Sus scrofa: one gene and its partners. The protein of the gene in region 2 purifies or fractionates together with the protein of the main gene of each other region. This does not show direct contact. Links are inferred from orthologs where the notes say so. Each region holds a gene or a part of one and is shown on either strand. Other genes may lie near its edges. The genes, in order: REC8, SMC3, NIPBL, CDCA5 and PDS5B.

What was found.
Region 1: the proteins of SMC3 (region 2) and REC8 purify together in Homo sapiens (affinity purification with mass spectrometry; 3 studies listed by BioGRID and IntAct, with this or other methods). This does not show direct contact. The link is inferred for Sus scrofa from reciprocal best matches to the Homo sapiens genes SMC3 and REC8.
Region 3: the proteins of SMC3 (region 2) and NIPBL purify together in Homo sapiens (affinity purification with western blotting; 4 studies listed by BioGRID, with this or other methods). This does not show direct contact. The link is inferred for Sus scrofa from reciprocal best matches to the Homo sapiens genes SMC3 and NIPBL.
Region 4: the proteins of SMC3 (region 2) and CDCA5 purify together in Homo sapiens (affinity purification with mass spectrometry; 7 studies listed by BioGRID and IntAct, counting the BioPlex papers as one, with this or other methods). This does not show direct contact. The link is inferred for Sus scrofa from reciprocal best matches to the Homo sapiens genes SMC3 and CDCA5.
Region 5: the proteins of SMC3 (region 2) and PDS5B purify together in Homo sapiens (co-immunoprecipitation; 7 studies listed by BioGRID and IntAct, with this or other methods). This does not show direct contact. The link is inferred for Sus scrofa from reciprocal best matches to the Homo sapiens genes SMC3 and PDS5B.

What each region holds. Positions count from the first base shown.
Region 1 is NC_010449.5:75,122,381-75,129,007, reverse strand, and holds the start of REC8 (meiotic recombination protein REC8 homolog), read left to right. Parts: upstream 1-2,394; 5' UTR 2,395-3,568; intron 3,569-3,725; 5' UTR 3,726-3,826; coding exon 3,827-3,882; intron 3,883-3,981; coding exon 3,982-4,050; intron 4,051-4,154; coding exon 4,155-4,297; intron 4,298-4,382; coding exon 4,383-4,458; intron 4,459-4,867; coding exon 4,868-4,988; intron 4,989-6,549; coding exon 6,550-6,627. UniProt on the Homo sapiens protein: Required during meiosis for separation of sister chromatids and homologous chromosomes.
Region 2 is NC_010456.5:120,992,785-120,998,680, forward strand, and holds part of SMC3 (structural maintenance of chromosomes protein 3), read left to right. Parts: intron 1-381; coding exon 382-485; intron 486-935; coding exon 936-1,035; intron 1,036-1,362; coding exon 1,363-1,523; intron 1,524-1,837; coding exon 1,838-1,979; intron 1,980-3,877; coding exon 3,878-4,028; intron 4,029-5,805; coding exon 5,806-5,896. UniProt on the Homo sapiens protein: Central component of cohesin, a complex required for chromosome cohesion during the cell cycle. The cohesin complex may form a large proteinaceous ring within which sister chromatids can be trapped.
Region 3 is NC_010458.4:22,272,759-22,278,654, forward strand, and holds part of NIPBL (nipped-B-like protein), read left to right. Parts: intron 1-1,719; coding exon 1,720-3,345; intron 3,346-5,896. UniProt on the Homo sapiens protein: Plays an important role in the loading of the cohesin complex on to DNA. Forms a heterodimeric complex (also known as cohesin loading complex) with MAU2/SCC4 which mediates the loading of the cohesin complex onto chromatin.
Region 4 is NC_010444.4:7,105,537-7,111,244, forward strand, and holds part of CDCA5 (sororin), read left to right. Parts: intron 1-2,242; coding exon 2,243-2,680; intron 2,681-2,846; coding exon 2,847-2,927; 3' UTR 2,928-5,708. UniProt on the Homo sapiens protein: Regulator of sister chromatid cohesion in mitosis stabilizing cohesin complex association with chromatin. May antagonize the action of WAPL which stimulates cohesin dissociation from chromatin.
Region 5 is NC_010453.5:9,011,911-9,018,333, forward strand, and holds the start of PDS5B (sister chromatid cohesion protein PDS5 homolog B), read left to right. Parts: upstream 1-2,783; 5' UTR 2,784-2,986; intron 2,987-6,423. UniProt on the Homo sapiens protein: Regulator of sister chromatid cohesion in mitosis which may stabilize cohesin complex association with chromatin. May couple sister chromatid cohesion during mitosis to DNA replication.

The DNA of each region.
Region 1 (6,627 bases), on a different chromosome or scaffold from region 2:
AGGGATTGGATTTGAGCTACAGCTTCATGGTGCAGCAGTTCTGGCTCCTTTAACCCACTGCACCAGGCCAGGGATTGAACCTACACCTCTGCAGAAACCCAAGCCACTGCAGTCAGATTCCTATTTTTTTTTTTTTTCAAGGCCATACCTCAGCATATAGAGGTTCCCAGGCTAGGGTTCAAATCAGAGCTGTAGCAGCCAGCCTACACTATAGCCACAGCAATGCCGCTAGATCCGAGCCTCATCTGCAGCCTACACTGCAGCGCAAAGCAATGCTGGATCCTTAACCTGCTGAGTGAGGCCAGGGATCAAACCTGCGTCCTCACGGATGCTAGTCAGATTCTTTTCTGGCTGAGCCACATTGGGAACGCCTGCAGTTGGATTCTTAATGCACTTAAGCCATGGTAGTAACTCCTACTCATGAATTTCTTGATGGATACTTAGGTTGCGTCCATGTTTTGGCTGTTGCAAGTAATGCTATGAAAATTTAAGTGAATGTGTCTTTTAGAATGAGTATTCATTTCTTCCAGATATATATACCCAGGAATAGGATTGCTGGATCATATGGTAGCTCTATATTTAGTTTTTTAAGGCACCTCCATACTATTCCCCATAGTGGCTGTACAAATTTTCATACTCACCAACAGTGTAGGAGAGTTCTCTTCTCTCCATACCTTCTCCAGCATTTATGATTTGTAGACTGTTTTATTTTTTTTTTTTTTTTGTCTTTTTGCCTTTTCTAGGGCCGCTCCCTAGGCTAGAGGTCCAATCGGAGCTGTAGCCGCCAGCCTATGCCAAAGCCACAGCAACTTGGGATCTGAGCCGCATCTGCAACCTACACCACAGTTCACGGCAACACTGGATCCTTAACCCACTGAACAAGACCAGGGATCGAACCCTCAACCTCATGGTTCCTAGTGGGATTTATTTATTTATTTATTTATTTTTGTCTTTTGTCTTTTTGTCTTTTGTTGTTGTTGTTGTTGTTGTTGCTATTTCTTGGGCTGCTCCCGCGGCATATGGAAGTTCCCAGGCTAGGGGTTGAATCGGAGCTGTAGCCACCGGCCTACGCCAGAGGCACAGCAACGTAGGATCCGAGCCGAGTCTGCAACCTACACCACAGCTCACGGCAACGCCGGATCGTTAACCCACTGAGCAAGGGCAGGGACCGAACCCGCAACCTCATGGTTCCTAGTCGGATTCGTTAACCACTGCACCTAGTGGGATTTATTAACCACTGAGCCACAATGGGAATTCCTAGACTGTTTGATGATGGCCATTCTGACTGGTATGATACGATATGACATTGTAATTTTTATTTGCATATTTTCGTTTCTCTAACAATTAGCAGTGTTAAACATACTCTCATGTGCCTATTGGCCATCAGTATGTCTTATTTGGAGAAATGTCTTTTTTTTTCTCTCTTTTTGGCCACCCTCTGGTGTATGGAGTTGCCAGGTCAGGCATCAAATCCAAGCCACTGCTGTGACCTCCACCACAGCTGTGGCAACTCTGGATCTTTTAAGGCACTGTGCCAGGCTGGGGATTGAACCTATGTCCTAGAGCTGCAGAGACACTGCAAATCCCACTGTGCTACAGTAGGAACTCTGAGTGGCTCTTTAGGTCTTTAGGTCTTCTGCCCCCACCCCCCCAACTTTGCCACACCTGCAATGTGTGGGTGTTCCTCTGTCAGGGATTGGATTGACCTGAGCCACAGCAGTGACAATGCCTTATCTTAAACAGCTAGGCCACCGGGGAACTCCTGCCCATTTTTTGATTGGGTGATTGTTTTTTTGATATTGAACTGTATGAACTGTTTTTGTATTTTGGAAATTAAGGCCTTGTCATTTGCATCATTAGCAAATATTGCCCCTCAGTCTACAGGTTGTCTTTTCCTTTTGTTTATGGTTTACTTTGCTGAGCAAGAATATATATACACATTCTTTTTTTCACACTATCCTCCACCATGTGCCATCACAAGTGATTAGATACAGTTCCCTGTGCAATACACCAGGTGTCTCATTGCTTATTCACCCCAACGATAGTTTGCATCTACTATTTGTGTTTCGTTAGGTCCCATTTATTTATTTGTGTTTTATTTCTTTTGCTTTGGGAGACTGCCTTAAGAAAATATTGCCGTGGAGTTCCCGTCGTAGCTCAGTGGTTAACAAATCCAACTAGGAACCATGAGGTTGCAGGATCGACCCCTGGCCTCTCTCAGTGGGTTAAGGATCCGGCGTTGCCATGAGCTGTGGTGTAGGTCGCAGACGTGCGTTTCTGTGGCTGTGGCGTAGACCAGCAGCGGTAGCTCCAATTGGAAACTTTCCTAGCCTGGGAACTTCCATATGCTATAGGTGTGGCCCTAAAAAGACAAAAGACCACCCCCCCCAAAAAAAAAACAAAAGAAAATATTGCTGTGATTAATGTCAGAGAATGTTTTGCCTGTATTCTCTTCTAGGAGTTTTATGGCATTATGTCTTATATTTAAGTCTTTAAGCCATTTTATTTTTGTGTTAAGAAGTGCTGAGTATTAAAGAAGCAGAAGCGTGCCCTGGAGTCAAGCCTGGGGAGGGCATTCTAGCTAAAGAAATGACTGTGTAAAGGCAGGAGGTGTGGGAAAAGGGATATTCGTAACTACAACCATATAGCTTATATTACACAAAGAACTGTCTGAAACAAATGATTTTTGTATGCTGAGAAGTATGCCCTGCCTCCAACAAAACTTTAAAAGTCTCAACCAGGAGAACGTTCACACTGCAAAACAACCAGGTGAAGAATGTCCACAACCTAAACTGTTCAAGCTTAGGAAACGACGGGCCAGTCCTCTCACTGCTTCCTGCGGGATCTGATTTCTTTCCCATTGATCCGTGGCAGCTCCAAGGCCAACTCACACCCTTTCCACCTCCCCAGCTCATTACAGGCCCTAGGCTGGGCACAAAGGTGGACCAACCAATTGCTATTCGGTGAGATTTGGGGAAAGAGGCAACATCTAACTGCAGGTCAGGGTGCCAGGACCTGGCGGTTGCCCCGGGCATGACCTCACCTCCTGGATTTGTAAAGGCGCCCTCGTTGCCAGGCTCCCTGCAGGCAGAGGCTGGGATTTGCTCCTCGCTCATTCGTCAGCGGAGAAGCGCCTCCAAGGAATCCCTGTTACCAAGGTGAGGACGAGAGCCCATTGGTCGGGACATCTCACAATGGCCCCACCACCCCCAGGGTTCTTCCCATTGGTTAGCTATCTGCCTCGGGAGACCCCTGTTGCCTTGAACCCAAGTGGGCGGGCTGCTTGGTGGCCTGGAACTAGCGCCCCCAAGCTAACCCTGTTTTCCATTGGCTGTTCCCGGAGCTGCTGCCGTCTAATGAGGAGCGAAGGACAAAACACCCGAGCACGCGCTCCCTGCGGCGGGATCTAACCCTGCGGGAGGGGGACCCGGCTGGCACCGACGGGACCAAAGGTGTGCAGAGGCCGGAGGACACCCGATCTCCCTTGGACCCTGGTCTGGATTGCACCCCAGGCCTCCCATCACGGAGTTCTGAATCTCCAACCCGGAACCCAACCCAGAAGTCTCCAGTAAGTTCAAAGCACCCATGTGGCGTGACCCGCTTCGGGCCCGCGGAGAGGGAGACCCTACGCCAGTGTTTGCGTCTTCATTTCCTTATCCCTTTAGTCGTTTATCAGTTCATTTATTTGGCATTCTGGGTCCACCCTCCGCACCACCTGTTCACAGCCTTCTCTCTAATGCTGTTGGGAAACCCTGTGTCCTGAAGAATTCGGATTGAGATCCGAACGGAAGAGTGGTGGAGACGAGGGTGAGACCTCGGAGGGACCATGTTCTACTACCCCAGCGTGCTTCAGCGCCACACTGGCTGCTTCGCCACCATCTGGTAAGGGCAGACCAGGGCAGGCAGGGCTGGCCGGGAGGGGCCCCCACGGATCCCAGGCTGAGGGCTCCCCCTCCAACCATCCCCCCACCCTCTTTCCAGGCTTGCGGCGACGCGCGGCACCCGGTTGGTGAAGCGTGAATACCTGAAGGTGAATGTGGAGAAGACCTGGTAAGGCCCAGAAAAGGGAAGAGCGGCCTGGGGCCCGAGTGGGTTAGGGGATGGATTGGGCTGGTCTTTGGCATAGCGGCGATCGGGGCACGTTGTTCCCCCAGCGAGGAAATCCTCAATTATGTGCTGGTACGGGTGCAGCCCCCGCTGCCTGGTCTGCCGCGGCCCCGCTTCTCCCTATACCTCTCAGCTCAGCTCCAGATCGGCATCATCCGGGTCTACTTTCAACAGTGCCAGTACCTCGTAGGTAAGGCCAGGAAGGTTCTGAGGTGGGGCAGAGCTGCGTGGCCCTGGCCTGGGCAGGTTCTCTGCCTTATCCTTCCTGCCCACAGATGATATCCAGCATATTCTGGAGCGCCTGCACCGCGCCCAGCTGCAGATCCGCATAGACATGGTGGAGACTGACCTGTGAGTGTGCCCCTGGGACTAGGACCATCCGGCCTTTGCTGGCAAACCTCCCTGCTTGGCCTCAGCCCATTTCAGCCTCAATCCCCTTTTTAAAAAAAATTTTTTTTTAATTTATTAATTTTTTTTTATTTTTTGCTTTTTAGGGCTGCACCCACGGCATACAGAGGTTCCCAGGTTAGGGCTTGAATCAGAGCTGTAGCTGCCAGCCTATGCTACAGCCACAGCAATGCAGGATCCAAGAGATATCTGCGAACTACACCACAGCTCACAGCAATGCCAGATCCTTAACCCACTGAGCAAAGCCAGGGATCGAACCTGCGTCCTCATGGATGCTAGTCAGATTCTTTAACGGCTGAGCCACAATGGGAACTCCCAGCCTCAGCCCTTGACACCCCACATTCCCCCTCAGACCTAGCCTGCTTCTTCCTAACCATCTGGCCATAATGGAGACTCTGGAAGATGCTCCAGATCCCTTTTTTGGGATGATGTCTGAGGAACCCAGATTGCCCAGTCCCTTCGATATCCCTCAGGTAGGTCTCATTCCCCTGGGGCACCTTGGACTGATGAGTTGACAGTGCACAGGGGAGGGCAGGAGCTTGCTGCAGTCAGTGCAGACCCATCCAGACAAGCGTGATGCACTTATCTATTCAGGACCAACCTAGAGGCAGCCCTTATCTCCACTGTCTCCACACTGTTCCAAGAGTCAAGGCCTTAATCCAGGCGCTCAGTGTGCCTCAGCATTGGGTTTCCCTACCCACGTCTTTGTCCATCCATTCCTAACACCCCTACCACTTATACAGTGTTAACTCCCCTCCTTCAAAGACACCTCCAGCGGCTCCTCACTGCAAACAGAATACTAACATTTAAGGCTTTCCATCCTGGTCCAGAGGCAGCCATCCCAGATGCCTCTCAGTGCATCCCCTGGGCATCTTTGTCTCCCAGACACCAGCCTGGCCCATTTGCCACAAAGATGCCACATTCCCTTCTTTGTACTGTTTCTCTAGCCCATAATGGTCACTCTTTGTTTTCTTACAAACCTTGCTCAAATGCTACTCTTTTACATGAAGTCTTTTTTGTTTTATTTTGTTTTTAGGGCTGCACCTGCAGCATATGGAGGTTCCCAGGCTAGGGGTTGAATTGGAGCTGTAGCTGCCAGCCTATGCCACAGCCATACCATATCCAGGCCACGTCTGCGACCTATACCACAGCTCATGGCAACGCCGGATCCTTAACCCACTGAGTGAGGCCAGGGATTGAACCTGCATTCTCATGGATGCTAGTCAGATTTGTTTCTGCTACACCATGATGGGAATGCCTACATGAAGCCTTTATCCCACACCTGGCCAGAACCAAATGTTGTTCTGGAACTTACATATCACCTGTGTTTTATCCTTTGTGTTTATTTATTTTGAAGAACAAATTAATTTAAAAATTTATTGAATTATAGTTGATTTAAAATGTATTAGTTTCAAGTGTTTCAAGTGTTCAGCATCATTTGTGTTGACTCTTGCTGGGGTCATAACAAAACTCCTCTCCCACTAAACCATACGCTTTTTCTTCTTCTTTTTTTTTTTTTGTCTTTTAGGGCCACACCCCCGGCATATGGAAGTTCCCAGGCTAGAGGTCAAATTGGAGCTGCAGCTGCCAGCCTACATCACAGCCATAGCAATGTGGGATCCAAGCCGCATCTGCAACCTACACCACAGCTCACGGCAATGCCAGATCCTTAACCCACTGAGTGAGGCCAGGGAACCTGCGTCCTCCTAGATACCAGTCAGATTTGTTTCTGGTGAGCCACAACGGGGACTCCTTGAGATCATACACTTAAGATCAAGAATCCTTTTGGTTTGCTCTGTCCCCCACAACAGTTGACAAAAGGATGCAGTACTTCTTTCACAGACAAACTGACACAGGCTAGATATTTGGGAAGAAAGGAAACCAACAGCTTGGTGGGTTCACTGCATGCTGATGTCAGTGCCACAGAATTAGGCATAAGGGGGTACCGTGCACATTGTCTGACTAAAGTCGTGAAGGTGGGGGAGCAGGGGCTGAAGCTGAACTCTATCTTTTGTCCCCAATCCCTCCCTAAAGCTTCGACACCTCTTAGAGGCTGTGACCCCAGAGAAAGTTCTTGAGGAGATCCTTCCTGAAGTCCCTACAGAGCTTAGA
Region 2 (5,896 bases):
GTGTATTCCTAAGTCTCCTGTGTTCTTGTGTATGTGTGGAAAGGGGGCAGTATGGAAAGTATGCACTACAGTGTTTTGAGAATTTATTAATGTGTTTTTTCTTCTTTTAGAGTTATGTGTTAGAGAAGTAGTAAGGTCAAAGTTAGTAGTGGTGAACAAATTAATTGTGTTTATTCGTTTATATGCCTGTTAAGCCATTGCCACAATTAATATAAACTTTTCATCACCCCCAAATAATTCCTGTTCCCCTTGGTAATATCTCCCTTGCTTCTTTCCTGTCCTCCTCCCCCATCCTCTGGTAATAACTGATCTGCTTTCTGTCACTATGGATTACTTTATATGAAGGTGGATTTTAAATTTGAGTTGTTTTTATTTTCATAGAAACTTGATCAGGATCTTAATGAAGTCAAAGCTCGAGTAGAAGAACTGGACAGAAAATACTATGAAGTAAAAAATAAGAAAGATGAATTACAAAGTGAAAGAAAGTTAGTATAGACTGAAATATTCTTTATTTTTTTTATTTATTTATTTTTTTGTCTCTTTAGGGCCACACTCGTGGCATATGGAGGTTCCCAGGCTAGGGATCTAATTGGAGCTACAGCTGCCGGCCTGCGCCACAGCCACAGCAGTCGAGATCCGAGCCTTGTCTGCGACCTGCGCCACAGCTCACGGCAATGCCAGATCCTTAACCCACTGAGTGAGGCCCCAGATCAAACCCACAACCTCATGGTTCCTAGTTGGATTCATTTCTGCTGAGCTATGATGGGAACTCCTTCTTTAATATTTTTTTGAGTAATACTTGTTACTGGCTGTTAAGTGGTATTTAAGTTATAAATTATTAAAATTTAATTTCAGTACCTACTCAAAATTGTATACTTTTGGTGCATTGTCTTAATGCTTTTAAAATTAAAGACAGTCTAATTTTTATTTATTAGTTACTTGTGGCGAGAGGAGAATGCAGAACAGCAAGCACTTGCTGCTAAAAGAGAAGATCTAGAAAAGAAACAGCAACTTCTTAGAGCGGCAACAGGAAAGGTTCGCAGGTTCTTTTCGTTACCTTAGTTTTCATTGAGTCAGTTATTGGACAAGAATGTATTAGCTTTGAAGAGAAGACTGCAAATTACTTGTCTTATGAAACCATGGGTATTATTTAAGTACATTTGCTAGTAAAGATAGCACTTTTCATTTTTAATGCGAATGTCGGAACATATAAGATATTGCACGTAGTTGGCATATTTCAAGGGAGTGACCTGTTTTTGGAGAGAGTGTTTAATCTAGTATATTTTTTACTGTATAGAGTAATGAGTTCTTACCAGCAGAAGTACCATTGGCAATATTTTAATATTTTTCACTTCTAAATAGGCCATTTTAAATGGAATAGACAGCATCAACAAAGTACTAGACCACTTTCGTCGAAAAGGAATAAACCAACATGTTCAGAATGGCTATCATGGTATTGTGATGAATAACTTTGAATGTGAGCCTGCTTTCTACACATGTGTGGAAGTCACTGCTGGAAACCGGTAAGATTTTTTTGTTGTTTTGAATTTTTAAAGGAAAGAGGGAATACGGGTAACCCAAGAAACAACTCTTTGTAGTTTTACTACATTATGTCTCCCAATATCATCCTGTATCCTTAGTTACTCATTTTTTTAATTAAAGATATACATGCTAAGTGTTGTTTCTAACTGTAAAAGCTAAAATTTCCCCTTTTTGTACTTTTTCACTCTCGATTGGATTTGCTCTCCCCCATACAAATAAGATTGCATAGAAAAAAAGTAAATTGTTTGCTTAAATGTTTACAGCACTTTAGACGTGTTGTTCTGTTTACATGTAGGTTATTTTATCACATTGTTGATTCAGATGAAGTCAGCACGAAGATTTTGATGGAGTTTAATAAAATGAACCTTCCTGGAGAGGTTACTTTTCTGCCTCTTAACAAGTTAGATGTCAGGGATACTGCCTATCCTGAAACCAATGTGAGTTGATGTGTGTTAAAGTCTGCCTTTCTTTCAGTAAGTTTTTTCTTGTGTTTAGCACATGCTAGTGCATGGGCACTATACATTGGGATTCACATGGTCTGTGAGATAAATAGGCCTTTCTTACTGTAGAGCATAGTCAGTGCTGGGTGAAGAAGGGAAGGGAGATAGAGATAGAGGTCCCAGCCAAGACATAAAACAAGCCATTTTAAAAAGCGGAAACTGTTAAAATATATTAAGTACAGGATATGTTGAGAGTGTATCTTAGATAAAGTTAAGATTAAATAGTTGGAAAAGAATTTCCTGAGGAACTATCACTTTAAAGTGAATATATTAAGGTTTTCCGAATATACTTTTTCAAATCGTTTAAAGTTAGAAGTGTCTAGCAAGATGATAGAGTCTGAAAGCATAATGTTGCTTTTGATATTAGTGGCTATACTTTTTAAACAGATTAAAAATATTCCCTTGTACAAGTCAACCTTGTAAATTAACTATACTTGAATTAAAAATATTCCCTTAGATATCATTCTTGAAAAAATGTAATTGCTTTTAGGTGTTTGGCTTCAAAATGTTGATAGTAGTAGCAACTCTCACTATTTTTTAAGGTTAAAGCTAAAATCCTATGAGAATGATCTACAATTTAAAAGGAACAGTGAGAGTCTTATAAGCTGTTTAATTGGTTGACTTTTTTTTTCCTTTTAAATCTATAAATTGTCTTTGAAGTTTTAGAATAAATTGAGTCATATGTGATATGTGAATAAAGCAAGACACAAAAGAATGCATGTAGTATGATTCCCTTTTTACTAAAAAGTAAACTTAGTATGATAGAACAAGAAAGTGCAAGGACGCGATTACCACAAAAGTTATAATAGTGGTAACCTCTAGCAGGTAACCATTAGAAGTAACCACTGTGATTAGGAAAGAGCTACACACATGGCTTCTGGATGTATTTTCTTTCTTGTCGTACATGGTGGCTATATTGGTGTTCACTTTGTAATTACTAATTTAGGCTTAACATATTTATGGTATTTTTCTGTATGTAGAATGTATTTCCTAATTTTGAATTCTGTTCTGACAGTTTAGGAGAGAGGGGAAAAATTTTATTTGAAAAGTTATTTTTCTGAATATCCAACTTAGATAAAAATAAAATGAAAATATTTTGAGGAAACACTAGTAGTTTACATTTAGCCCTTCTATTTGACAGGTGCTATCCTAAGAGTTTCACATATATAACTCACCTAGTCTTTTTTGGTGTGTGTGGGGGGAAGCACAGGTGCAGCATATGGAAGTTCCCAGGCTAGGGGTTTAATCGGAGCTACAGCTGCCAGCCTACATCACAGCCACAGCAGTGCCAGACCTTACCTGTGTCTGTGACCTATACTCCAGGTCATGGCAACACTGGATCCTTAACCCACTGAGTGGGGCCAGGGATTGAACCCACATCCTTATGGATACTAGTCAGGTTCACTTCTGAGCCACAGTGAGAACTCCGTAACTCACCTTGTCTTAACGTTGTCATTAAGGTAGTATTTTTATTACAGTTTTGTAAATAAAATAACTGTTATATAGAAAAGTTAAGTAGTTTGTCCAGAGCACACATCTGAGTGGCAGAACTGGGATTTGAACTTGAGCAGTCTGGCTCCAGAGCCACTAAGGTCTTTATCACTGTGTTCTAGTATTGAAAACCTGGATGATTTACATGAGCACAATTTCTAAGATTTTTCAATAGAGTGATTTTTCTAACATTTTCAGTGTTTTACCAATCATATGGAAACATTAATATAAAAGTATGAAGACATTTGTGTTTATTTGTATTTCATAAAGATGTTATTCATAATTCTGCTAAGACATTTTAATTGTGTTATGGTCTCTTTGTTAACAAAATATTCATTTTTCAGGATGCTATTCCTATGATAAGTAAATTGAGGTACAATCCCAGATTTGACAAGGCTTTCAAACATGTGTTTGGAAAAACACTTATTTGTCGTAGTATGGAAGTTTCAACCCAGTTGGCCCGTGCTTTCACAATGGACTGCATTACCCTGGAAGGTTTGTAATAATTCTTAACTTTGAGTAAATAGATTCCATTTTAGTTTTAAGAGTGTTTGAAATTCATGTCCATTTATTTCTCATTTTTAATATAGTTGGTTTATCCAAATTTATTCAAGTATAATCATTTATTCTCTAGTAAGGTTTCTTAATCTTTTTTGTACCATGAACTCTTTTTGGTTTTTGGTGAAGCCTATGGACCCTTTTCAAAATATTTTTGAGTATATAAAATAGCTTTGGATTACAAAAGACACCAGTTACATTGGCATTGTTATTTTTTAAAATATGTTAGTAATTTATTCTTTAAGGTATTCAAAAATTTTGGAGTTCCCCTTGTGGCTCAGTAGAAACACATACAACTAGTATCCATGAGGATCGGGTTCAGTCCCTGGCCTCTCACAGTGGGTTAAGGATCTGGCGTTGCCATGAGCTGTGGTGTAGGTTGCAGGCAAGGCTTAGATCTGGCAGTGCCATGGCTCTGGCGTAGGCCAGCAGCTTAGCTCCAATTCAACCCCTAGCCTGGGAACTTCCATATGCTGCAGATGTGGCCCTAAAAGGAAAAGAAAGGAAAAAAAACCATGAGATTTAGCAATGGTTCTCCTAAATTTTATCAGAATTTGGGTTAAAAACCTCTGGTATATTGGTTCGTTCACCTTCGTTTTCTGTATTTTCCTTCTCTTTGTAGTTTGTTAATGAAAGAAGCTTTACCTCTATATGTTTAGAAGTTTTTGTTGTTTTGAACCATCTGAAAATAAGTCATAAAAATTGTGAAACTTCATCTCTAAAAGTTAAGCATGTGTTTCCTAAGAATAAGGACATTCTCCTTTATAGTCATAGATCATTGTTATAGCTAAGAAATTTAATATTAATCCAATTACATCATTTAAAAAGTACATTCAAGTTTTCTTAATTGTCCTAAAATATTTTTCTGTCTAGGATCCAACAAGGATGCATGGAATACTTTCTCTTTAGATTCTTTCAGTTTCAGTACAGGACAATTCCTCCTATTCCTTCCCACCCTTAGAAATTGACTTTCTTGAAAAAAGTTTTGTTTTCTGGATTTGTCTTATTCGATTCATTAGGTTTAGGATAAGCATTCTTGAAATGAGTGATGTGTACTTCCTATTGTGAACACAAAGTGTGCACTGTCACAGATGCCTACTAGCAAATCTTGGTTGTAAAGAAGCTTTTTCCCCTTTGTAATCAGTAAGTGGTATGTGAGATTATCCTTTGAGAATACATCAATATTAGGTTTTCCAAAAACTTGTTTTACCAGTGGTTTAGCATCCTTTGGTGACCCTTGCCTGACTCGGTTAATACATTGAGGGTTTCAAAGTGGTGATTCTTAAATTCCATGATTGCTTTCACTATTATGTAAAGAAGAGCCCTGTCCTTTTTTTAATGTATTATTGTGATTTGTGGATTTTTAATTTTTATTCAGTGTATTCACACATTGCCATTATTATTTCTGATTTTTAAATTTTCCCAAGTATGGCCAGTAGGAATTCTAAGCTAGGGCTTGTGTCCTGTTGACTTGTTCCTATTAGTCTTCAGCACTTCTTTCCTTTATGGTAGATATTCAAGCTCACCTAGAAGGTGTATTTTTTAAATGCACTTTTTCATATTGGAAAGCAAAATTTTTTCCAAAGTGGCTTAAACTTTTAACTTAGTAATTCTAATTAAATAGGTAAAGCCTTTACATTTGTCATTTGATTATTAATTTATTGTTGAATAAAGAAGTTATTATACAGAATTACTACCTTTCTTTTGTTTTTAGGTGACCAAGTTAGTCATCGGGGTGCTTTAACTGGAGGCTATTATGATACAAGGAAGTCTAGACTTGAATTACAAAAAGATGTTAGAAAAGC
Region 3 (5,896 bases), on a different chromosome or scaffold from region 2:
AGGGGTCTAATCGGAGCTGTAGCCACCAGCCTACGCCAGAGCCACAGCAATGCGGGATCGGAGCCGCATCTGCAACCCACACCACAGCTCATGGCAACACCAGATCCTTAACCCACTGAGCGAGGCCAGGGATCGAACCCGCAAACTCACGGTTCCTAGTCAGATTCGTTAACCACTGTGCCACGATAGGAACTCCAGCATCTTCTTTTTTAGATGATAGTTATTTGTTGTGCCTTATGAGAAGATATAAAGATTATTTTGTGTGGCCTAAGTTTCAAAAGTAAAATTCTATAAGGTATCATTCTGAGTGCTTTTTTCTTAGGTGTTGATGCAGAAAGCTTCGTATAAGTTCTTGAATTACTTTTAACTAGGGGAAACAGTTTAATGATAATATGCTTTATTATCATCATGTAGTTATTTTGCAAATGGAGCATATGTTATGATTTGATTTCTGAATCACTGAAAAAGCAGAATTGCTTAGTTCTACAAAAAAAATTACTGGCAAATATCTGAAGTAAGTTTTAGTAATACTTAATTAGATTTTAAGCTGGAAGGGACTGCTCCTTCTCACTTTGAAAACAAAATGATGGAACTTTGGTGTGTAAAAGAATCATTACTATTAAAATCTTTTTTTCCAGGACTCTGTTCCAAAGTATTAAGGGGCTGTTTTTTTGGTGGTCAGTTTGACTTTTCACTTTGTGATCCTGTTTGCTTAAATGATAGATACTTTATCACATTAATGAATACCGTAAGAGAATCTAAAGGTTATCCTGAAAAAAATGTTTAAAATGACTTTTAAAACCGCCAGGCAATTCAGCAAGTGTTATTAAAGTAGACAAAAATCTCAAGATGCTGTAATGTTATAGTTGTAAATCACGTTATAATTCCTAAGACCTAACTGGAGATTCAGTTTATAGAAAATGACCTTAGGAGCCTCTTGGGTCAAGTGGAATCATGCACAGAAATACCTAGCTGTTAAAAATACCATGACATTTAATTAAAGTGATAGATTTATGTTTGTGTGTATTTTGTCTTTATATTGTGGAATACTGTAAATTATTTCTTACCGAGCCAATATATAGACCCCCTAGACCTTATGTTGAAGAGCTGAAGCATTTTTCTTCAGTTGAAGTTGCTTGAGATAGGATTTATCTAAAAAGTTCTTATTATATGCTTCTCATTTCTATACTTGTATTTTCCTTATCTAAATATGCTTCTGTGTGTTAGCTTTTAAATTCCATTTGTGCTGTTGACACCTTGAAGAATTTGAATCCTGGATTAATAATAAACTATTAAATTTTTCTTTTTCTTTATTACTCTCCTCATTCACCTTTTTTTCAGTGGCATGATTTCTATTTTATTTTAGGTTTTATTCTTTTCCATACTTCTCTTACTTGTGGCAAAAGTTTAATTTCCTGTTTAGTATGTGGGCAGATTTGGAGCTCTTTGTAGTTTTTACTAGCTTAGCAGTTTAAATGATCTTTTTACTATAGTCACTAATACCTACTGAGGTACAGCAAGCATGAATACTTCCTCAAACCTTGTTTGAAAAGTATTATGCCATTCGTGCTTACTATTTTATATATGTCTGTTGACATTTGCATTCACCACATTTGAAAAACATTGTGACTTTAGAAACTAGTCAAAGTCCATAAGGTTTTTAATAAGATAAGAATATTTGTCTATTACTGATACTGAATATTTATCTTTGAATTTCAGATAAGCCTTTGAAAAAAAGAAAACAAGATTCTTACCCACAGGAGGCTGGGGGTGCTACAGGAGGTAATAGACCAGCTTCTCAGGAGACGGGTTCTACGGGAAATGGGTCAAGGCCAGCATTAATGGTTAGCATTGATCTTCATCAGGCAGGAAGAGTGGACTCTCAGGCTTCTGTAACTCAGGATTCAGACTCCATAAAAAAGCCTGAAGAAATCAAACAATGTAATGATGCACCTATTTCTGTTCTTCAGGAAGATATTATTGGAAATCTTAAATCTACACCAGAAAACCATCCTGAGACTCCTAAAAAAAAGTCTGATCCTGAGCTTTCAAAGAATGAAATGAAACAAAATGAAAGTAGATTGGCAGAATCTAAACCAAATGAAAACAGATTGGTAGAGACAAAATCTAGTGAAAGTAAGTTAGATACTAAAATTGAGATACAAACAGAAGAACCTAAACAGAATGAGAGCAGAACGATTGAATCCAAGCAAAATGAGAGCACCACAGCCGAGCCTAAACAGAATGAAAATAGACTGTCTGACACAAAACCAAATGACAACAAACAAAATAATGGTAGATCAGAAACAGCAAAGTCAAGACCTGAAACCCCAAAGCAAAAGGGTGAAAGCCGACCTGAAACTCCAAAACAAAAGAGTGAGGGGCGTCCTGAAACCCCAAAGCAAAAGGGCGATGGACGGCCTGAAACTCCAAAGCAGAAAGGTGAGGGCCGACCTGAAACTCCAAAGCAAAAAAATGAAGGTCGTCCTGAAACACCAAAACATAGACATGAAAATAGGAGGGATCCTGGAAAACCATCAACAGAGAAAAAACCTGAAATGTCTAAACATAAACAGGATATTAAATCCGATTCACCTCGGTTAAAATCAGAAAGAGCTGAAGCCTTAAAGCAGAGACCTGATGGGCGATCTGTTTCTGAGTCACTAAGACGTGACCATGATAGTAAACAAAAGTCAGATGACAGGAGTGAATCTGAGCGACATCGAGGTGATCAATCTAGGGTTCGAAGACCAGAAACATTGAGATCCTCTAGTAGAAATGAACATGGCATTAAATCTGATGGTTCAAAACCTGATAAACTAGAAAGAAAACACAGACATGAATCAGGGGACTCAAGGGAAAGACTGTCTTCTGGGGAGCAGAAATCAAGACCTGACAGTCCTCGTGTTAAACAAGGAGATTCTAATAAATCAAGACCTGATAAGCCTGGTTTTAAATCACCAAATAGTAAAGATGACAAAAGGACAGAAGGCAACAAGAGTAAAATAGACAGTAATAAAACGCACCCTGACAATAAGGCAGAATTTCCAAGTTATTTGTTGGGGGGCAGGTCTGGTGCATTGAAAAATTTTGTCATTCCAAAAATCAAGAGGGATAAAGATGGCAATGTTACTCAGGAGACAAAGAAAATGGAAATGAAAGGAGAGCAGAAAGACAAAGTAGAAAAAATGGGATTAGTTGAAGATCTAAATAAAGGAGCTAAGCCTGTAGTTGTTCTGCAAAAACTGTCTTTGGATGATGTTCAGAAACTTATTAAAGATAGAGAGGATAAATCAAGAAGTTCCCTTAAACCTATCAAGAATAAACCATCAAAATCAAATAAAGGTAAGAATACTTATTCTGTCATCTGTATTCTAATCAGTTTTCTTTTGATTTTTAGGGTTACTATGGATTTTTCTGAAAGGGAAATTTACAAAAATCAATACTACTATATGAAAATAAAACTTTTATATAAAACAACAGTGAATTATTTACAGTAATGTAGATAAAAAGTTTTCCGTGAAAATTCTTTTTTCCCACTCTACTTGAACTTCTCACCATAGTTGTGATTTTACTATTGGTACACAGAGAAAAGGTTTTTTTCCTGTTTAATTGTTTCATTAGTTTTGAAAGTTGCAATAGTTTTTTTTTTTTTTTTTTTTTTTTTTTTTTTTTTTTTTTTTTTTTTTTTTTTTTTTTTAATAGTTTTGCCCTTTCCTATGGAAAAGTCATAGGAAATGGAATTTAACCTTCTTAAATTGACTTCAGTCATCAATTTGTAAGGCTTTTTGGTACTTTTGTTTGGGTGGTTTTTGTCTTTTTGTTTTTTTGGGGGGAAAAGGGTTTGGCATGATTTCTAAGTTCTCTGGTTACTTGAGTGATATTGTTTCTGGGGGTGTCTTAAATGCTTGAATATTTTCTGTACAGTGGCAGTTTGTACAAAAAATATAATTTTGTGTTCCTTTATATATTGTCTTTTACACACACACACACACACACACCACACACGTAATTTGATGATGCTGTATGGTAAGATTTATTTAGCCTGTGCAATATAAATAGATTGGTATATAGTTTAAACTATGTAAAATTAAAAATTTATATCCTCAATAGCTATATATGACAAGTTGCTTCCCTTATTGCAGATAGAGAACATATGCATCATCACAGAAAGCTGTGATCTACTGCAGTGTATTAGGAGATATAGAAGGTATATTGGTATTTTTGTAGAATGCTGTTATACCTTCTCTGTTAAAAATAGCTCATTGAAAACAGTATTACTACTTAGAACTCTTTATTCAAAGAAATAACTTTTCATGACTAATCTGTCTTTATTCTTAGATGGTCTTCTCAAATGTTTGCTTTTTTCACTATTCACTCAGTTTTGTCTTTCAAAAATGAAAAGATTGCCTCTGAGTCATTAATATTTGTATTATTTTATTGAAGCTTTCAGATTTTAAATTATGCCAGTCAGGCCTGTGGAAATTAATTAAAACTCTAGCTTTAATTGGTTAATAGTCTTTAGTATTTTAAGTTGAACGCCTCTTTTTAGAATTGTTTATGTAAAAGAATTTGTTAGAATGTAGTGGTTAGCACTATAATTGTTTTCTTTTAGATAAAGATTGTCTTTAATAATTTTCATGAAAATTTGGAGTGGCTTATATATATATTTAAACTTAAGACTATAATTACACAACTTTAGAAAAGTCAGTTGGAAAGATGGAAAGTGGTACCCTCTTGTCCCCTTCATCTGGACCATCTTTTTCTCCCCTGCCCTCTGTCAGCTTATGCCAGCCTCGCTTTCTGAGCTCTGTTCTAACAAAGAATCCTTACAGCTGAACATCAAGAAATGAATATAGCTCTTAATTAGTAACTGCTGTGTTATTGCCCCTGTTTTTTTTTTTTTCACATATGATTTCATTGCTTGTGAATATAAACTTTTTGATACTAATCCACTGTTTCTCCTAAATATACCTTTAACACAAATGTATATACTTGATATGTTGGTGTTAGTAACTAATCTGGGTGTGTCTGCCTGTTAGAATATGATGTTTGTGTGTAAGCATGTGCATGTATGTAAATACACATATTAATATGTATGCAAATATAAAAAGTGAACCTTTTCATCAGTGCTTAGATTCATTTCATGATCCCACATAGATATCTTTTGGCTTTATTTATGCCATAGCTTTAACAACTGTTTTTCAGTAATGTACCAATTTTAGCTTTATTTTAGATCTCTGCTACTCAGCAATAGCAGAGGTACATAATTGTGGATTTTTAAAATTACATACATAGAAAGGGCCAGTTGTGGATTACTACTTCATAGTGCACATTACTTGGGATTGTCTTTGGATAGTTACAGAAAATGACGTATTCAGATACATTGGTGTTTTCCTAAGCAAAAACTGAATATTGCCGGGATACTTTGTCATTGATTCCTAGGGCCAAAATTCATGGTACGTTTCCTTTCTTGGAAGAGCTATAGCGTTTCGTTGTTTAAATATTTTACCTGATATCCATATTTAAAATATTCTCTCAGGTAAATTTTTCTGACAAGTTATAGTTTGTGACTTTATTTAAAATTTTGTATTATAGTTGATTTATAGTGTTCTGTCAATTTCTGTTGTACAGCAAAGTGACCCAGTTATACATATAGATGCATTCTTTTTCTCACATTATCCTCCATCATGTTCCATCACAAATGATTAGATATAGTTTCCTGTGCTATAGAGTAGGATCTCATTTTTTATTCACTCCAAATGCAGTAGTTTGCATCTACTAACCCCGAACTTCCAGTCCATTCCAATTCTTCTCCCTCCCCCTTGGCAACCACAAGCCTGTTCTCCATGTCCATGAGTTTGTTTCTTTTCTGTAGATAGGTTCATTTGTGCCA
Region 4 (5,708 bases), on a different chromosome or scaffold from region 2:
GGAGGACTTGAATGGAATCCTGAAGTGAGGTAGTGGGAGCCTGAAGTAAGGGAAAGGCAGAGTGCTGCTTTGCCCCCGGCTTACCACACAGCCACCCCTGTCACACAGGACTCAGCTCAAAGGACAGCTCCTCCTGGAAGCCTTTTCCATGTGGTTCTCCATAGGCCTTGTTCATAGCTGAGAGTATATTATTTGCATGTTTGTTGTCTCGAGGGCAGACTTCTGCCTCCACTATGATAGCCACTCTTTCTTATTGGTCGAATAATAGATTCATGAAATTGAGCCCCCCAAAAAACTGCAAGGACGTGGATGACTGCTTAGCTGTAGGGATTGAGGAAGTAGTCAGTGACCCCTCATTTTGTTCAACATCCCTTTTACTTAGACTCATGGGGCAGATTCCCCAGAGCTTGTACCAGGAACTAACCCTCCCCCCTCTCTTAATCAGTTTACTTTTTATTTTATTGAAGGATAATTGATTTACAGGGTCATGGTAGTTTCAGGAACTGGCTTGATAACCAAATATAACTTTATTAGACCAAAAGTGTCACTGAATTTGTCTTTTTTCTCTCCTTGCCTTGGCCGTCAGGAAACTCAGTGCCACGTTTTGCATAAGTTAATTCAGTGAGCATTTATTGAACACCTGCTGCATGCAGGGCTCCGCTGAAGGCGCTAGACATGGGCACAGGCAAGGTTAAGGTCCAACAGGTGGAAAGCCCTGCTCATATGTGAAGCTCACAGTCTAATTGGGTGTGACAGTCAACCAGTGAACAGCGAAAATGAGATAGTGATGGACTATCTGAGTCCACAAGGAAAAGCACGAGGTTTGGGGAGCAGTGGCTTGTTTGGTGTGACTGCAGCCGACCTTGGCAGGGAGTGTGCTAAGCCAGAGCGGCCTCCAGGAAAGAGGCCATTGTGACGGAGGGTAACTGGCAGGGGTGAGGACGGCTGGTCTCCAGTCCATGGGGAGGGTGGCCTCCCTGAGGAAGCAGCATTTGAGCTGAGATCGGAATTACGAGGAGCCAATATGTGAGCCTCTTAATGCTCATGTCAGATTAGGCACTGTTCCCACCCTTCCCGTGGCTCCTTGGGTCCCGGAGCAAGAGGCTCCATGGGTCTCCCCTTACTGTGGCCACAGAGCGCCTCCGACGCCACCATTACCACCTGAGCTGCATCTTCGGGTCCTCTCTTCACTTCTCCCTTGGGCCACGCTGGCCTTGTTCCTTGACCCCGATTGGCACACTCTCACCCCAGGACTTTTCTGTTCTCCCTGCCTCCCTCCCAGTTAAATTACTCCCTCAGCTCTTCAAGTCATACCTCACGTGCTACCCGAGTGAGGCCTCCGCTGCCCTGCACCTACCCGAGTTCCAGCCCACTCCCGGGGCACCCTCCCCTCCTCTCTCTCTTCCCAAGGTGCTTAATGCCTCTGATGGACGATATGACTCTCCCGGTTACCTATTTCCCCCGCTAGAGTGGAAGCTCCATGGAGCCAGGTTTTCTCTGTTTTGCTCCCTTCTGGCTCCCAGTGCCCAGAACGGTGCCTGGCAGGTGACCATTAAGAACTTATTGGCTGGGTGGACATTTTAGGAAAATCATCACCAGCTGTGAGACAAACGGATCAGAGTGGGCAGGGCGGCGAGGAGGGTGTTGAGCCGGAGGGACAGGGACCGGGGCACCCGTCACAGGTGGGTAGATTGCAGTCATGTTTTAGAGCCAGAGCCGGCGGCTCCAAGGGGTGGTGGCCGGTCCTCTTGGGGCACGAAAGTGGACTCAGGAACAGTGACCGGCTGGTCTCTTCCCCATCCCACATCTGTCTCTGGTCTGATGTATTTCCTGACCCATCTCCACTTTTCTTTTTTTTTTTTTTTTGCCTTTTCTAGGGCTGCACCCGCGGCACATGGAGGTTCCCAGGCTAGGTGTCTAATCAGAGCTGTAGCCACCAGCCAGAGCCACAGCAACGCGGGATTCGAGCCACGTCTGCGACCTACACCACAGCTCATGGCAATGCTGGATCCTTAACCCACTGAACGAGGCCGGGGATCGAACCCACAACCTCATGGTTCCCAGTCAGATTTACCCGCAACCTCATGGTTCCTAGTCGGATTCGTTAACCACTGAGCCACGACGGGAATTCCCTCCACTTTTCCATTCTAAAGTGCCCCCGGGTCGGTCTTTCCGCCCTAAATCAGGCCTTTCTCGAAGTAGAACAACTAACAGGGAGGCGTTCTCTCCTGTCCTGGTACAGATCGCGTTTTTCTTGGAGAAAGAAAACAACCCTCCTAGCAAGGAGCCTACTAGGGAGGACCTCTTCCAGACACGCAGTGTCCCTGTCACTCCCACCCCCACTCCTGTGCTGTGTTCCCTGAACGTTGAGTCCAATTCAGGGGAAGGAGACCTGGACGCCAGAGACTTGGAAATGTCAAAGAAAGTCAGGCGATCCTACAGCCGCCTGGAGACTGTTGGCTCCGCCTCCACCTCCACCCCGGGCCGCCGGTCCTGCTTTGGCTTTGAGGGGCTGCTGGCCACAGAAGACTTGGCTGGAGTCTCACCTGTGGTGGGTTCAAAGTTAACTGAGGTCCCCAGGGTCCCTGTGAAGCCCTGGGCACCAGACACGACGCTCCCTGGGATCTCGCCACCAGCCGTGAAGGAGAAACGGAAGAAGAGGAAGGTGCCAGAGATCTTGGTGAGTGAGGGGCAGGGGCACGGGGAGATGTGCCAGGCACTGCAGGGCCGAGGCTCAGCCCTGGCTGTTATGGGGGAAAGGCAGGGCCTCCAGGGTCTGGGACGAGGCGCTCTAGCCAATGTGCTCCCCTCCCCACTCACCTGCCCCCCCATCTCTCTTCCCCCAGAAATCGGAGCTGGATGAATGGGCTGCGGCCATGAATGCTGAGTTTGAAGCTGCTGAGCAGTTTGATCTCCTGGTTGAATGAGATGAGATGGGGGTGTACCTGGCCACGCTGCCCTCTTCCCCCTGTACATAATCCCCTCGCCCTGTGGAGAAGCCCCTTGGGGTCCCCTCCCTTGGTTTTGTTACCCGTGCACGTGCTATTGCTGCACACAAGGCCTGTCCTTTGGGCCGTCTTAGCTTCAGGAAACGGGGCCCACCTGGCCCAGCCACACACTGGTGTCCTGTCTGTAGTCGGTGACCTACGACCCTCTGCCCTCCTACCTCCTGGAGCATCCCAGCTGGTTTCCAGCTGGGCCACGGACTAGGGAGTAGGACTCACAGGCCCAGCCAGAGGAGGTTAAAGGGCCAGGAGTTGAGAGTGAAAGAGAGCATCTGTGCTCTTGTTGGGAAATGTGTCTGCTTTGCAGCAGCCCCACCAGAAATGGATGCTGAGGGCCACAGCCAGACTCAGGCTTTGTCTTCTGAGTTGCCGCTACTGGGGCTTGGTTCCCAGCCACGAGGCTCGGGTATCCTCTTAGGTTCTGTAGAGGGTCCAGGAGGACTGTCCCCGTGGATTGGAGGCTGTTCTCTCCAAGGAGGAAGCTGGACACGCAGCCTATGGAGTCTTGAGTTTTGAAGGAGGAAGGGAAGACTTGGCTGGGTCTCAGACTGTACACGTTTACTACATAGAAGCTGTGTTCGATAGTTTTGTGTGTTCTGCTGTTGGGATGTTCGGTTAAGCGCCAGGCTGGTGTGGCACTGACTGCTTGGGGCAAAGAAGGTGCCTCCAGATGCCACAGAACCTGAGGCTCAGGGCATTCGGACTGATGCCAGCAGAGGGCCGGAAGGGGTCCCTCTTGTCACTCACACCTGTTTGTTAGTCTGCTCAGCTCTGGAAGAAAAACGTAGGGATTGAATGGTCTGGGTGACATTAGTCTTTTATAAGGTTCTAGGAAGCTTTTCTCATGGGCCGGAAAGGGGCCAGGGTGGAGAGCAGTTTAAGTTTCAGCGTCCTGAGCATCCTCTCACATGAGGGCACTGCCTGAGGTAGGTGCTAGGGGCTGAACTCGGGCGGGAGGGGGGTCATCTCATTGTCTGGGGATCCCCCCTCCCCAGCCCCTGTTTCTCTTTGCTCAATATTGACAAAAGGTGAACTTTCAAAGGCTGTCCAACTACAACTTCCACCATCGTGCAGGCCACGGTGCCCTTGACGTGTGCAGGTTCATGGACATAGAGGCTAAGGGGCAGGGGGCTCGCAGACCGCAGAGGGCATCAGGGAAGCTGAGCACTTGCGTGTTAGGGTACCTGAAATGGCTCGAGCCTAGTGGGCGTTAATTAAACTCGGTGGGGCCTAGCGGTCCCCGGCCACCTGTCCAGCGCTTGGTGCTTTGTCAGACGCCATAAGCAAGCCCTTTTGCCAGGATGGGCCCAGATGCCCTTGACCACACCCGAGGAACCTTGTCTTCACTGGCTGGCGGCGGGACGGTTCCTGGGAGGTGTCTGTCCTGCAGAATCAGGAGTAGTCAAATGATGTTGAGTTGATGTCCTATCTGCAGACTTCTCTCTGCCCCTGACAAACTAAATGGAGTTGAGGGAAAACTGTCTTAAAAATTTTTTTAAACAATCAATTAAAGAGTTGCTGCCTGTTCATAGACTGTTTCTTTTGCTGGGTCAGAGCTGGAGCTGAGGGTGTGGTGTGGGCCCAGGAAGCCACGCTTTCTTCGGGCTGTGTCACCAGGGTTGTTGTCCCTGTACACTGGGGGCGCTGCCAGCCTGGCCTCCAGTTGCCCTGTGGTAGAGCCCCCACCCCTACCCCCAGGTCTGTATTTTCCATCCCGTTGGTTACCTGCTGCTCCTGGCAGGGCTGCCTGGAGGGGAGCCCCACGCCCTCCCGACCCAGGAATAGAGCCGTCGGGTCTGGGGTGATGAGGCTGCTAAGAGCTTTTCTCAGTGCCTGGCCCTGGCCCCTCCACCCGCCCTGAGTCCAGCCCTTGTTCCCCTGCTCCTTCTTGTCAGACTCCTGTGAAGGAGCCAGTTCCTCCCACACTGGCCCAAGCTGGGTGCTCTACAGCAGTGGGTATAGAGCCCCTTGGGGAGCTGGTCAGAGGCGCATGTTTCCAGGAGTTCCCGTCGTGGCCCAGGGGTTAACGAATCTGACTAGGAACCATGAGGTTGTGGGTTCCATCCCTGGCCTTGTTCAGTGGGTTAAGGATCTGGTGTTGCTGTGAGCCGTGGTGTAGATCGCAGATGCGGCTTGGATCTGGTGTTGCTGGGGCTGTGGTGTAGGCCAGCGGCTACAACTCCAATTAGACCCCTAGCCTGGGAACCTCCATATGCCATGGGAGTGGCCCTAGAAAAGGCAAAAAGACAAAACAAAAACAAAAACACGTTTCCAGGAGGTCTCCCAGGAGGCCCAGGGCCATACATGCAGCTTGACGCCCGTGGCAGAGCCACTCTCCTTCCCCTCATCCTTGACACTTGTCCTTGGCTCCATCCTTTGAACAAATCAAGGCCTTTATATCCTTCATTTCTCCCTAAACCTCTCCACTTCCACCCCCTGCCCTTACCCAGAGGGAGAGCGGGCTCTTTTCAAGGCCAAGCTTTGCGTTGGCTTTTGCTCCACTTCCCTCATCTCTGAGACTTTGTGCCTCTTTCTCCTACAAGTCTTATGTTCATTATTACAAACAACCGCCCTAATCCTCACTGAGAGTCTTGTCCAGTGCCTGTTTTCAGCTTTTGCCCTCACACCTTTCAAGGTTAAGCTCCTTGAAAGAATGTTCAAAGTTGCTCTCTGCTTCTGTTCCATTTACTCTGGGTGCCATCA
Region 5 (6,423 bases), on a different chromosome or scaffold from region 2:
AAACCAAATGATCAGAATATGAGTGGTATGGTGGGCAGAATAATGAGTCCCAAAGATATCTATGTCCTCTGCTGAAGAACCTGTGAATATTTGGGTTACATGGCAAAGGGGAATTAAGGTTATAGATCAAATTAAGGTTGCTAATCATCTGACTTTAAATTAGGCAAATTATCCTGGATTATTTAGATGGGCCCAATATAATCAGAAGGGTCTTTAAACTCGAATGAAGGAGGCAGAAGTGAGTCTGACAAAGACATGTGACAGTGGAAACAGGGTCAGAAAGATGCCGTTGTGTGGACTGTGATGATGGAGAAGAGGGGACAAGGGCTCAGGAATGTGGTTAGCCTCTCAAAGCTGCAAAAGGCAAGAAAACGGGTTCTCTCCTAGAGAATTCTAGACCCTCCAGAAAGGAATGTAGCTGTGCCAACATCTTGAGTTTAACCCAGTGAAACCTGTGCCAGTTCTTTGAATCACAGAACTGTAAGGCAATAAATCTGTTGTTGGTTGTTTTTATAATTTGTTTACAATAGCCATAAAAAAACTAGCACAGGGATTTGTGGGGGTTTTTGTCTGTGTGTGTGTGCTTTTAGTGCTGTACCCATGCATGTGGAAGTTCCTAGGCTAGGGATCGAATCGGAGGTATAGCTGCTGGCCACAGCCACAGCAGTGCAGGATATGAGCCATGTCTGCAACCTACACCACAGCTCATAGCAATGCCAGACCCTTAACCCACTGAGCGAGGCCAAGGATCGAGCTGGTATCCTCAAGGAACCTAGTCAGGTTCATTAACTGCTGAGCCATGAAGGGAACTCCCAGATTTGTGGGGTTTTTTTTATAATCAAAGATAATTCTTTTAACCAAGTCTGTATAAAATCAGAATTTTTTTTTTTTTTTTTTGTCTTTTGTCCTTTTAGGGCCGTACCCGAGGCATATGAAGGTTTACAGGCTAGGGGTCTAATCGGAGCTGTTGTTGCCGACCTAAGTCACAGCCACAGCAACGTCAGATCTGAGCCGAGTCTGCAAACTACACCACAGCTCATGGCAATGCCAGATACTTAACCCACTGATCGAGGCCAGGGATCAAACCTGCAACCTCATGGTTCCTAGTCAGATTTGTTTCCGCTTCGCCACGATGGGAACTGCAAATCAGAATTTTTTCATCATTCTCACCACTGATTTTTTTTTTTTGTCTTTTTAGGGCCACACCCACACAGCACATGCAGGTTCCCAGGCTGGGGGTCCAATCAGAGCTGCAGCCACTGGCCTACACCACAGCCAGAGCAAGGACAGATCTGAGAAGAGTCTGCATCCTATAACACTGCTCAAGGTAATGCTGGATCCTTAACCCACTGATCGAGGCCAGGGATTGAACCTGCAACCTCATGGTTCCTAGTCAGATTCGTTAACCACTGCGCCACGACGGGAACTCCCGGTTTATCTATCTTAAATTATGCTGCATCCAATTGTACTGCTCCTGATGAACTACAATTTGCTTATTTTTTGGACTTTATTAGATCAATTTTAAGTTTATAGCAAAATTGAGAGTAAGATACAGAGATTTCTCATATACACCCTCCCCTCACATTCGGTTTTTTTAAAGCCCTAAAGACAGACATTTATTTTTAATACTAATTTCTTTTAATACCAACTTCAGATTTGTTTCCCTAAATAGTGTTGCTTTAAATGAAGGTTTATATTACTAATTTCTGTAAATCCATTTGCTATTGCATACAACATAGTTCCTTTTTTTTTTAAGCAACTGCTTCATTTAATCCTCAGAGATTTTTTTTTCTCTCTCCATCCTAATAGTAAATCTCCAGATGAACTTTCTTTTTTTTTTTTATTTTATTTTAATTTTTTTTGTCTTTTTGTCTTTTTTTTGTTGTTGTTGTTATTGTTGCTATTCTTGGCCGCTCCCGGCATATGGAGTCCAGGCTAGGGTCGAATCAGAGCTGTAGCCACCGGCTACGCCAGAGCCACAGCAATGTGGGATCCGGCCGCGTCTGCAACCTACACCACAGCTCACGCAACGCCGGATCGTTAACCACTGAGCAAGGCAGGACCGAACCGCAACCTCATGTTCCTAGTCGATTCGTTAACCACTGCGCCACGACGGACCCCAGATGAACTTTCAATATACTCGTAGTACAGCTGCAGAAGTGAGGAGCGGCATCCCCTGGAGGTGAAGGGGGTTAGAAATCCACCTCCCAGAAGACTTCCTTGTGTTCTTCAGATTATTTCTCCCTGTAATAAGGACAATTGTGATAAAATGAATGGAATGCTTTGTTACAGGTGGACTTGTTATGTCCTCGCAGCCACCGCCTAAACAATACCTGAAAATGGGACAGCTGTGAGATTAAGTAAAGACATAACATATAAAGTGCAAGAACAACAAAAACAAAAACAACTCAGGGCATTTTGAGATGACTAGGTCAGCGTTAGCAAGGAGCAAAGTAGTTAACATCAATTTTATTTACTTAGCACGATATTAGTATTGTTTCATTGTTTTAAAAAATTCCCAACTTTTATCCATAAAGGTAGAGGTATATAACAATTTACGTGGTTTTCGGCAAAAGTCAAGGAAGCCTTAGAAGCAGAGAAAGCATTGACAGCCCCGGGTCTCGATGTCACAGCGGCGGCGTGCCCGTGTGACTGCGTGCGCGCGCGACGGGCGGGGCGGAGGCGGGCACGCGCGGGCGCACGGGGCGGGGCGGAGGGGAGGCCGGCGGGCACGCGCGCGAGGCTGTCCGGTCGGCAGGGGGCGCTGCGCACCCACGCGGCGCTCTGCCTGCCCCCGGTGCTGTCCGCGGCGGTTCGATTGGAGCAGCCGCCGAAGAGCTCTTGGCGCCATTTTGAAGCGGAGAGGAGGAGGAACGGCGGGGCTGGCTGCGGAAGGGGAGGGGGGGAGGAGGCGATTGGATGCGGCGGCGGCGGCGGATCCCGGAGAGCAGCGGAGTGAGAGGAGTAACGAGTCGGGCACCCGGAGGTAGGAAACAATTCAGTTAACGGGAAGAAAATGTCTCTTCTCTCTGGTCGCCGCGCTCCATTTTTCAGCGCCCGCCACCGCGGCTGTGTCTGTGGCGGGGCTCAAGCGCCGCCCGCCTGCCAGCCGAGACTCGCTTCCAGGCATCGGGGGCTGCAGCCGCCGGCTGCCTGGCGGCGGCGGGGCCGGGAGGAGTGGGGCGCGGGCCGGGGGCGTGGGCCCGGCTGTGCGGTGGGGGGTGGGGAGGGCCCCTCGGCCGCCGTGTTCCCTCCACGCCGTGGGCTCAGCCGCAGCCTCTGGAAATTAAACTTGCCGCCCTGGCCCGACCGGGGCGCCCGCGGCGACGGAGGCGGCGGGCCGCGGGCGGTGACCTTGCGCGCGCCGGGGGTCCGCGCCCGCTGCCGGGCTGCCCGGCCGCCCCGCAGCCCGCGCCCCGCCGCCGCCCCTCCCCCCCGCGCCCGGCCGGCCGGCGGCTGTTTCCCGGGCGGCAGGCGGGCGGCGCGGCGCTCCTGTTGAATCCTCCCGCGGGCGGGTTTTCCCCCTTCCGGGCGAGGGGCGGGGAGCGCGGGTCCCGGCTGACCCCGGGGCGGTTTGCGGGCCTCGGCCCTTCCGCCCCCGCGGCCGGGTCCCCCGCGCCGGGCCCGCTCCGCGCAGCCTCTGCTCCGGGCGACGACAAGGGCCGATAGAGTGACATTTTTATACGGTTACTTGCCAGTCGCCAGAGATAAAGCGCGCTCACCGCGCCTCTTGGAGCTGGTGCTGGGGGCACCCGAGGACCTAGTTGGGGAAGAGTCCAGACGGGCTGGAGTGGCTCCTCCCTGGCGACCACTGAGTCCTAGCTTTCCTTTAGGAAGCCTCGGAATTGGAACGACAGTGCAAACGGTGTCTGGTTGACGTTTTTTTGAGTCTGTTATCTTACTGACACCTGAAAAGTTTCTGGTCGGGAGAAAAAGCTTGTTTGTGGTTCTGTGCTGCTTTGCCTCTTGGTACATGCGCTGAAGCCGCGACACGCTAAGCCCTGGTACAGTTATTCGAGGGAATGACTCCGAACCCAGAAACGTAGCACCTCCGCTTCAGAACTGCCGCTTCCTCCGTTCCTCCGCGGCCCGTGCAAACTCGGGATAGGGTTGGAAAGAGCGTTTTGGGCATCCTAATCAACTCCAAAAGAGAACCCTTTATTTGACTTTGAAAAACGTACTTCGAACGCTCTTATACTTTTATTATGAAATGATGGCTGGACGGTACTGTCCTGAACGACCCTACCAACCCTGTTTATTAAACCATTTCGGAAATTTTGGATATAGCCTTTGATTTCGAAGGTTTAGTCTGTGGTCTTGAGTGATTTGGGGGTCACCGGCTGTCTTCCTAATAATCATTAAGAATCCAAGTTTATTTATGTATATAAGAGGCGAGCTGTACATGAGTCATAATTATTTAAAACTTGAATGGCAAAACCCCCCCACAAAAACCCAAAACCTCGATGGCAGTATGTATAATCATTGTTCTCAGCATATGTATGTGAAGTCCCAAGATAGAGTATTTTCTGTTCTAACTTATACAGTAGTCAAGTAAAATAGTTAAAAACACAAAAATGGTATTAAGCAAAATAAGGGTTAGAAAAGACACTTATCTATGCACTGCATATGTCAGAAATGTTAGCATTTTTAGGAACCGTAAAATGAGCATTCTTATGGTGTATGCAGGTCAGTTTGTGGAACAGTTAATTTTGTATCACTGAGTAGTAGCAGAAAACCTAATTAAAATTTGTAGTGGTGAATATATAGGTGAAAGTTTCAACATGAAACTTCTTATGTTAAGATAGATTTATTTTGAAAAACTTAGGTGTAAAAAAATTAAGTCAGAACATTATTCTTTCAAAATGAATTTACAAGTGTATATAGAAAAGGTGCGTTTTAGACATTCTTTGATTACTGAAGTAGTTATTTATTTTTGCCTTTTTGATGGTTTAAAAAAATCTCTGGGTTTTACTTGAAGGTGTATTTTAAATGACATGGTAGTGTTTGTATTGACTTTTTTTTTTTGCCTTGAAGAATTTTTGTGCTCTTTCTTATTTTTCTTTTGTTGAGGTTGATTATCCATGCATTAACTTTGTTTTTACAGAAGCTTTTTATTAAATTAATTTTTTTAAACCATTCCCACCCCTACAGTAGCTTTTTACTCTTCTTGTCACTTTCATTCTTGTATGCTTATGCTTTCTTTTCCATCACTTTCCCCAAGAATTAGAGGAGATAAAGTGATGATAGTGATTCTTGTTGTCATGGGATGTTGTACTAGCTTATTTGATAAGTAGTTGTACTGAGTTGGATTTTGGATAACATTTTTAAGTTTAAAGTTGTTTTGAAACTTTAACAGTCACAAAGAGTTATGTTTTGAGGACTAGGCTTTATCAATAATTGGTTAGGCCTAAAATAAAGCAATACTCTATATTAGGGCTTGCTCTGGTGAAAAGTAAATGGTAACCAAAACTTTGTGTCAGGGGGAATATTTTGGAAGATTGTATTCTTTCTGCTTCTCCCTCTTTGAGTAGTAGGATTGTCCTGTGGCTTCCTTAGTGCTACTTTTTCATCATGTGTGCCTAGAACCTACAGGAGAGCTTACAGTGATTTGGTTTTGATGACAAGTACTGTATATATACTCAAAAGAGTAGATTTGTGTTTCCTTTGTTAGTGTTAGGGAGCTATAAGGAAACATAGATGATTTCCACCTCACTTATCATATGCATGAGACATTAGTTCAGATTATAATTTGAATGGTTTAGCCAAAGTCACAGTTATATCCTTATGGTGGAATTGGGGTAGTCCTTAGATCTCCTGGAGGCTTAGAAGCATCCACATGGTCTGTATTGTTTTATTCAGGATTTAAGCAATATTTAAAATTATTGCCAGATAGCATCTTATTTTCTATCCCCTCCTCCCTTTTTCATTCATTCAACCAAGAAATAGAGTTTCGAGGTTAACACAGAGTCTGGTTGATAACGTCTATCCAGGATTCAGTCCACTTAAATTATCTCAGAAGATAACCTCTTTCTTGTCTGTCTCCTGGAGCCGCTTGATCTTTCATTGGGTAAAAATACTTGACAAGGCATTTATTTATTCTTTGTTACACTTTTAAGCCAGGGTAGTTTGGAAGTTAGTATTGAACTTTATTTTGTTATAAGATGTATATGTCTGTGCATGTGTGAGGTTTGGTTTTTTTTTTTTTTTTTTTGTCTTTTCTAGGGCCGCTCCCACAGCATATGGAGGTTCCCAGGCTAGGGGTCTAATTGGAGCTGTAGCCACCGGCCTACACCACAGCCACCGCAACTCGGGATCCGAGCCGCATCTGCAGCTCACACCACAGCTCACGGAAACTGAGCAAGGCCAGGCACTGAACCTGCAACCTCATGGTTTCTAGTCGGATTCGTTAACCACTGCGCCACA